Drosophila melanogaster: one gene and its partner. The protein of the gene in region 1 interacts with the protein of each later gene in a pairwise test. Each region holds a gene or a part of one and is shown in the gene's direction. Other genes may lie near its edges.

What was found.
Region 2: the proteins of CG34347 (region 1) and CG4270 interact in a two-hybrid assay, tested with the Drosophila melanogaster proteins (one large-scale study listed by BioGRID).

The regions. Positions count from the first base shown.
Region 1 is NT_033777.3:31,309,335-31,314,167, forward strand, and holds the start of CG34347 (uncharacterized protein), read left to right. Parts: upstream 1-1,822; 5' UTR 1,823-2,597; intron 2,598-4,833.
Region 2 is NT_033779.5:2,261,625-2,264,929, forward strand, and holds CG4270 (uncharacterized protein), read left to right. Parts: upstream 1-1,817; 5' UTR 1,818-1,933; coding exon 1,934-2,131; intron 2,132-2,191; coding exon 2,192-2,418; coding exon of another isoform or gene 2,419-2,422; exon of another isoform or gene 2,423-2,461; intron 2,462-2,472; coding exon 2,473-2,560; 3' UTR 2,561-2,617; downstream 2,618-3,305. Other genes in the region: CG34049 (uncharacterized protein), read right to left, coding at 2,643-2,796, 2,859-3,085, 3,148-3,305.

The DNA.
Region 1 (4,833 bases):
AATTATTAGTTTAATTCCCAGCCGACTTTCTCGCTGAGTCAACGACTCTGTTTGTATCTGCGACTCAGTCAACCCAGTCAGCTGTAATTGATCACGATGCGACAAATATTTATACAAGAAAACAGAGCCGCAGTATCGCTAAGCTGCACAAATAAACACGCAGAGCGGCAAACTCGTATTAAGCGATCAATAATCGTGGTAAATACGACACTGTGACGCCAGAGGGGCGATAAGGCCAGAATTATGAACGCACAATCCGCTGAGATTGGGAAGGCAACCCGATGGCAGAGACTGGTTTTTGGGCCTGGCTCGTTGCAGATAAACAATAGCAATAGAAGAGCTTAGACTTTGGGTAAGGGTCAAATGCCGGGGGCATTCCTCTGTGCAGGGGAAGGCGGCGGAAAAACCGCAGAGCAGGAGGATGTGCCTTCGCCTTCGCCTTCGAGTGGCCCCTGCGCAATGATGATGATGATGATGATGAGCATAGCAAATACAAATTATGGCTGAAGAGCGCTACGTAAATACTGCAATCATTTTAATAGACCAAAAACGGCGGCGCATAAACCATAAACCAAACGCCACAGAGCCACAAAGAGGAGGCATCTCCGGACCCTTGGACAAAAGTGGACAGCCGAAACTAACTTTTCTATGGGAAGTCGGAGTTAAAGGCGTTTTGCGATGCTGCAATGGTGCACTGTTGCACTGTTGCACTGTTGCAATGCAGCAATGTTGCAACAAGCTGGCACGCGAGCGGCGAAAATTGCTAGCGAGCCCATGATGCGGTTTCCCGGCACTTGCCCAAGTTAAGCAGGGAAATTAGCGTAGATAAATATTTCCGAGGAAATTCCACAGCTGATGACCACTGATCGATAGGCAGGGGGGTGTGTATTTTGTCGATTTCAGTTGCTGGAGGACAGCGAATTCCGATGCGTCTCGGCCACTTGCGGTTTGCAAATTGCTGGCGAGGAAGGAGTACTCTTCTGCGCGGATCGTCAGGCTTCTTTTCCCGGATCATCGACGTTCTATGGGGTGATTTCTGTCTGATAGACAGCTACAAGCGCACTTAAGGCCGCTTGATGAGGGGCGGCATGGGCATGTATCTTTAGCTATCACTCGGCGTGCAAGATACAAAGCAGATGCTGACTAACCCCAGTCGTAGTCCCAGCACCCCTCTCCGCAGTCTGAAGCATCTCCCCCCCCCCCCCCCAGAAGAACTCATCCAAATCCAACTGCCGCCCCTGTCAATTCCGTAGCATTTATTTTCGTCGCCGCCACTCGAGTCTTTTCCCCCAGAGTTTGTGCTCTCGCTGTGCGCATGCGCTCTCCAACTCTACACACATCTCGCGGTTTGTTTTGCTACAGTCATTCGTAAATATACTATAAATAGTAGTTACTGTAAGTGTATATATGTGCAAACAATATTGGTTAGGATACAGCAAGATAGGAATTAATATAATAAGATGTGCTGAGACATAAGGTAGTACATTTTAAAAATTATTTATTATTATTCACACATATTACAACATTAATTTACCTTCGTTTTTTATCTTTTACTTTATTTTCGTAAGTGTTTATCTGGAATCATTCCTGCAATACAAGTCTTAAGCCGTACTTAGCGCCACACCACGTGCTGGCGGCGCTCTCTGCGGCCATCTCTCCATGGCTCTCTCTTTGCCAGCCGGCATTCGAAACTCTCCAAAGTTGGCGCCAAAAGTGCCGCCTGCTCCACTCCGGAGTCGCAACACCATCCACACTCGCGGTCCACCCCAGAAACAGGTTCCACCCGGGGGCTCAGCCAGGCGGCTCCAAGTCGATGCTCGGCCAGTTGCTGTTGGACCGTCGCACGTAACGCACGCTGCAGCGGAACTACTGAGTTTTGGTTCGGATCGGAATTCGCATCGAGTTTGGGCTTCGGTTTCGGCTGCTGTCGGATTTATCGGTCGTTTTGGTCCGCTTGATCGGTTGGCCAACTGCAAACTCGGCGGCCTGCATTCGGCAGTTGTGATTGATGGACTGCAGTTGCTCCGCAAACTCTGACCTCTGACCCCGGACAATCATCAGGTTCTGTGACTTGAAGGGCACTTTTTACGAGGGTCTCGCTGACCGATACCAAAAAACGACCATCAACGGAGAATATATCAAATAAAAAGTCCAATTTCGGTTTCTTTTTGTTGCCGGGTTTTCGATTTAGCATTTCGCATTTCTCGAGCTTGTCGACGTCGTGTGCGCGGTCTTCATAAATTATACAAGAGCGCATTTTGCGAACGACTTGCAAATAAATAAGCATTTACGCTTTTATTATTGCCCGGCGTGTGTGTGTTCGTTGTTGGTGAGTGTGTGTGTTTTTGGAGCGGGAGCGGGAGCCGCAGTTCTTCGGAAAAAGCTCCCATGTGGCGCAAGCCGGAGGAATAAAATAAAACCGAACCGAGCGTTCCCCTACTTAAAATATCATCTTTGCATACAATCAACATCTAGCCATAAAAGTGTCTTCGTCCTATGAGCATTCCGGTATCCGCTCTGATTTGTGTGTGCTGATAAGCCAGTGATTGCCCCAAAACGCGCTCCTCGCAGACCCCATATAAAGATATCTCAAGCAGGTAAGCATGTGGTACGCCGCCCATAACTCATCACGCACATTGAACCAGCCGAAGTGCAATGACATCGCGTCGTCATTATGCAAATGTGTAAATAGCGAAATGAGCAGCGTGTGCCTGCATCCTGATGCGTCCTCATCTTAGTCATTATAATCATCGTATCGCTGCCCAGCTGTGGGGCTTCCAGCCGCAACGATCTGCATAATTGGAGCACAGCTAGCTGGGTGTCTCTAACTGGCTCTAATGAATAAATAAGTGCCACTAATAGTTTTCGCACTTCCTGTTCTCGGCCATCAAGTTGCACGCGTTCTCGGCAGCAGGAATTGAATCATCTGCCACATCTGCATCGTCTGCATCATCAGGCCGCAACAAGGCAGCGTCCTCCATGCTGACAATATTTAATTATGAAGCTGCGATGGCGATAACCTACCTGTCTGACTTCTTTTGCTATTTGTGCCTGACATGCAAGAGTTCTGTGGCGGGTATGCACTGAAAAAAATCTATACGCACCCAAACAAACAGTTTATTGCACATTAACGTATTGCATAAAATTCTTAACTTAGTTAGAGAGTTCATTGTTGGTTCGGGATTGTTGACAATGACAAATATCCACTCAAGTATTTTCTCCTGGTGTGGGCAAGTCAATTCCGCAATTGTGGTTCTTGCAACAGCAACATTAACTGCTGATGCTGCTGCTGCTGCTGCTTCTGTGTTGCGTTGTGTTGTCGTTGTCAACGTCATCATCGTTGGCATAATCATTTTCGCTGCTCTTTCCCACACAAATCGGCATGGAAATGTTTTCATTTGGCGCATTTACTTTTTCCAACTTTTGAGCGAGGCAAAATGAAATTCTTGCCACCGAATTGTCAGCAGTTGCCATGGCAAATGTTTGCGCAATTATTATTGCAAACTTCTTCCGATGCTTTGAAATGTCTTTTTTATTTTGGAGAGATTTTTTTTTATTAGTTCAGGATATGACTAGCTATGATTTGATGGCATGGTTATAAGCTACATACATACATAAGTGCAGCTGTGTCACACCGCGTGTTTCGCCGGCCGAATTTCGCATGGAAAAAAACATTTCCTGTCCAACAATGTTGTGCAACGGATGCCCCATCATAGTTTCCCCAGATAAACATCAGCCAGACAACCAGAACACTCGAATGACTTGCGCAAGTAGGCAGAGTGGGGAAAAAGTGAGCACAAAGTAAATACAATTTTTCACGAACGAATTTTCCCGACTTCCTCATTTGCTTATCAGGCTGGGGAAGATTCCCCCGCCGCCGCTTGATTTCACTCACGCAGACTCATCAACTTTTAATTAGCTGTAATTTGTAAATTCAACGTCAAACACCGACCACGCAGTCAGTCAGTCAGAAGATGTCGCCGCCGCCTTTGAAGTTGCCGCAAATGCGGATGGCGATGATGATGTTCGCCACACTAACAGATTGCTGATAAAAGCCACCCCCCCCTACCGACCAACATTTCTCCATCACAAATCGCCTGGTTAACCCTTTCAGCACCTCTAATCGCCGGCAAAGCCAGGCCACGAGTCGCGGTATTCTTCTAACCAAAGCTGCAAAACGCCCATCCATCAGTGATGAGCGGCAGCTGTCAGCGGGTTCGCCGGTTAGAAGGCAGGGATTGGCCATCCGTCGAAATTTGACAAAACTGTTTCGTTTATAAATGACTCTTTGATGGCCATAAGCGGTGCCCGAAACGAGGAATTGATTGGGGGGGTATTGAAAATCCAAAAAAAAAAAAAAGGGGGAAGCCACTCGATTCGAGTGTCACATTAAGCGGGAATACATGGCACTTTAAAGGCTTGTTACTTTGGCTGGCACCCGTTTCTCATACCACTAATCACTGGCCAGGGTCGTAAATCCACTCGACTGATTCCCATCTGAAGCAATAAAATAATGCTCGACCAAATTACTTCAGGTCTTGGGATCCGCTTTTTTAATTAGTGACATTATAAATGTGGACACACTAATGGTGAGCAGGGGGGGCTGTACTAAAAACAAAACTTTACGAGCTAATTTTATGGCTCTTGCAAATTTATAGACTTTTGGCTCATGTGACACAAGACTAAACCAACCAACCACAAGCAACCAAACCAAACTGGCAGCCACTGCGAAAGCAGCAGCAACTTTCCTAACAATCTCTATAAATCCCCTGCTTTGCAGCAGAGGCACTTAATTAATTTCTGTAAAAACTTTAAGAACAAAGGGCTGTTCGT
Region 2 (3,305 bases), on another chromosome or scaffold:
TGTGAAGCTTATAACATTTGAAATCGTTGGGAATACTTAAGCTTAACGACATTGGAATACGCATGCTACCAATGAAATCTGCTGGAATACAAGAATACATTTATTGGCTGCAGTTGAGATTGTTTGGCTTCAAATTCAGAATGAACTTTTTAAATTGTGCATTCATTTTTTGTGCGGTACTTACCCTATGCCAAAACATGACCAATTCGAATCAATGGGAATCGGAATTAAAGGCAGTATCCGTATGTGCAACCGAGTGCATCCGGCTCCGGATGCCGTGTGGTTGATGGAAATGCGAGCCTGTTTGCCCAGATACCAGATACGATATATCAGATACCATCTATGTATATAATGCCCGCATGCTCGAAATAAGAGTGCGAGTGTATTTATTTTGCGTATGGCGCGCACTGTACCCTCCACTCGACCAGCAATGCATAAATAAACGAAACCAAATTTGCGAAATTAATTAAATCGACAGAAAAGTAACGTGTGCGCTTTGCGTTTTACGCTTTGACTGTGGCCAGCTTACAACCCAAACAATTTGGCCACCCAGCCACTGAACCACCCAATCCCCCAGCCACCCAACCACCCAACCACACATTTTCCAACTCCGATGGCACCGAAATTGTGAATTGTGCATTGTGCGGATGACGCGACTGTGCATCGCGTTTCTGACAGAGGCCATGGAAACCTGAAATGCAGCGAGCAGGCTTAAAGTTTATTACAATATTACCAGAAATTCTACCAGCGGCTTAAATGGAGCCATTTATCCATTTCGAAAATATCTTTGTCTATAGAGCAAATGAAAATAAGAAATGGAAAAGGGAGCTCCCGATTAATTGAATTGAAATTCATCCTAATCTTTGATATTGATTGAATTATATATTACCAATTAACCAAATTGGCTTTAATCTGTATTAACATTAATACTTATTTAAATTCGCGGCTTAATAAACTATTTTATCCAGCTTTAAGCTTATGGCCGAGTACTTAAGTACTTAGTACACAAATTCACATAAATCAATGAGCTGGGCCATAATTTAGTGCCTGGCACATGAGTATATCAAACGCAATGCTGTGACCCCGCATCCACCTTGCGGCGCACAGGATAATTTCAGCGAGTCAGCCTGTCCTGCGGCTGTATCCGCCTATCTGTACATCGGAGCATCGGCTTAATCTCTGCCGGGAGCAGCGACATCGGCCGGTCCATTGATTTGCATTTGCACAACTCATTAGGGATTCACACTTGAAGCACCACCCGCAGCGCAGACACACACTCACACACTTAAATAATTTAATATTCCGAGTGTTTCGACATCGAAATTTGCACTTCCATGGGCGGCGCTGCGGGCGATTGATAAGGGGCCTCCATGTCGGCCAACTCGCATTATCCAGCTCGATTCAGTCGGCAATTAATGCCACTCCAATTGCCCGATTTGCCTGCACCTACATATCCAGCCATATGGCTGGATTGCGAAAGAATCGCCGGCTCATTAATAACCAAACCCAGTGACATGCATCACTCATACGTCACGTTGGTTAATCCCATCGGCAGATGCAGAAGAAGGATGTGTGATACAGTCTGTCTAATTCCCGTCAATGGATTTGGGCACGCACACGTCCTGTGAATCCGTCACCCACAGCCTGTGTTTGCGGTATCAATCACAATGCTAATACCGATGTTTAGGCCAGATTATGAGGCGGTTTGAAAAAAGGGTTTTTCGGCTGTAAACAAAACATTGTGATTGATGGGTGAGCTATTCAGAACTCAGTGAAAATTTTAATTGACTGCCTTGTATACATGTATAATAACCACTTAATTTTGTAACTTAAAAACGAGAAATGTTGATCTAGCCAGCTAGCTTAAAAAGTCATTAGGCATACGTAAATTTGGTTAACTAAATCACGGCGCCAGCCAATCCCCCAAAGAAATATGGCGAAGAGAAACGTAGCGCCCATTCCCAAAACCCACGAGCGCCCTCCAGGTCCCAGGGGTCAGGATACCAAGGGCAACAACGAGCTCTTCCTGAAGGAGGTCTTCAATACCACCAATAAATATCGGGCAATGCACGGCTGTCCCGCGGTGACCATTAATGCTGCACTAAATAAGCTGGCTCAGGAATGGGCCAATGTAGGATGAGGGATAAAGAGTATTCTATAGTATTTTATATTAATTTGCACCCATTTCCAGCATCTCCGCGATCAGAACACAATGGCGCACAGACCCAATCCCAAGTACGGCGAAAACATTTTCCTCTCCGGTGGAATGGATGTGACCGGTGATCTGCCGGTGGAAATGTGGTATCGGGAAATCAATAGCTACGATTTCAACAAGGCGCAGTTTGTGCCCACCGCTGGACACTTTACTCAGCTCATTTGGAAGTCGTCGGTGGAAATGGGTTCGGGTGTGGCCCGAAAGTGAGTCTTATGGCTATGGCTATGGTAATCCTATTCATACATGTCTTCCAATAGAGCGGATAGAACTTGGGTGGTTTGCAACTACAATCCTCCCGGCAATGTTGTGGGTTTGTTCAAGGATAATGTGCCGCCAAAGCAATAACTCTGGGATTTTTTGATCAAAATTTTAAGCATAATAAAAGCGTAATCTAGGTCCAGTATTTGTTTGTTTTATTTACCATTTTCTATTTTAAATTGTGATGTTTCGATTTTCTAGTTTCCTTGGCATCCAAGTCCGATTTAAGTAGAAGGAATTTTCTAGGCAGGACATTTTCCCTGAAATGTTCGCTTACATTTCCAGGCGGATGGTAATTGCACACAATCCAAATGGAGGAAACACTGCGTGTAAAATGTAGTTAGTTTCGGATTATTTTTAGTATGACTTAAAATTATGAACCCACTCGCATGCCACGCCCACTCCCAGGAACTCTGACTCTCTCCAAACCAACTGGGTAAAATGTCCAGTGTACAAATTAAAGCCTGGCTTTAAGTAATCGTAGTTGTATTTTTCTTGGTACCAGAGTTTCAGTATTTGATCCACGGAGAATTTGGATCTCCGGACACGCATAATATTCTCGCCGTAAAGAGGATTAGGTCGAGTTTCCAGTTTGTTCAGATCAGCCAAATGCTGTGGAAATCAAGTTTAGGTGAAAAAGAAAGGATCTATTTATATTAAATACATCTACATACATCTGCCCACTCCTGTGCATAGGAACAAAGTTTTTCATCCATTTTCAGGGGATTGGCGTTGTGAAGCCTTCGGTACTTATTGGTTTCCCTTAGTACAGCTTGTTTTATAGGCTTGCGTCGAATGATAGGAATTTTGTATATTTCAAATTCCTTTAACA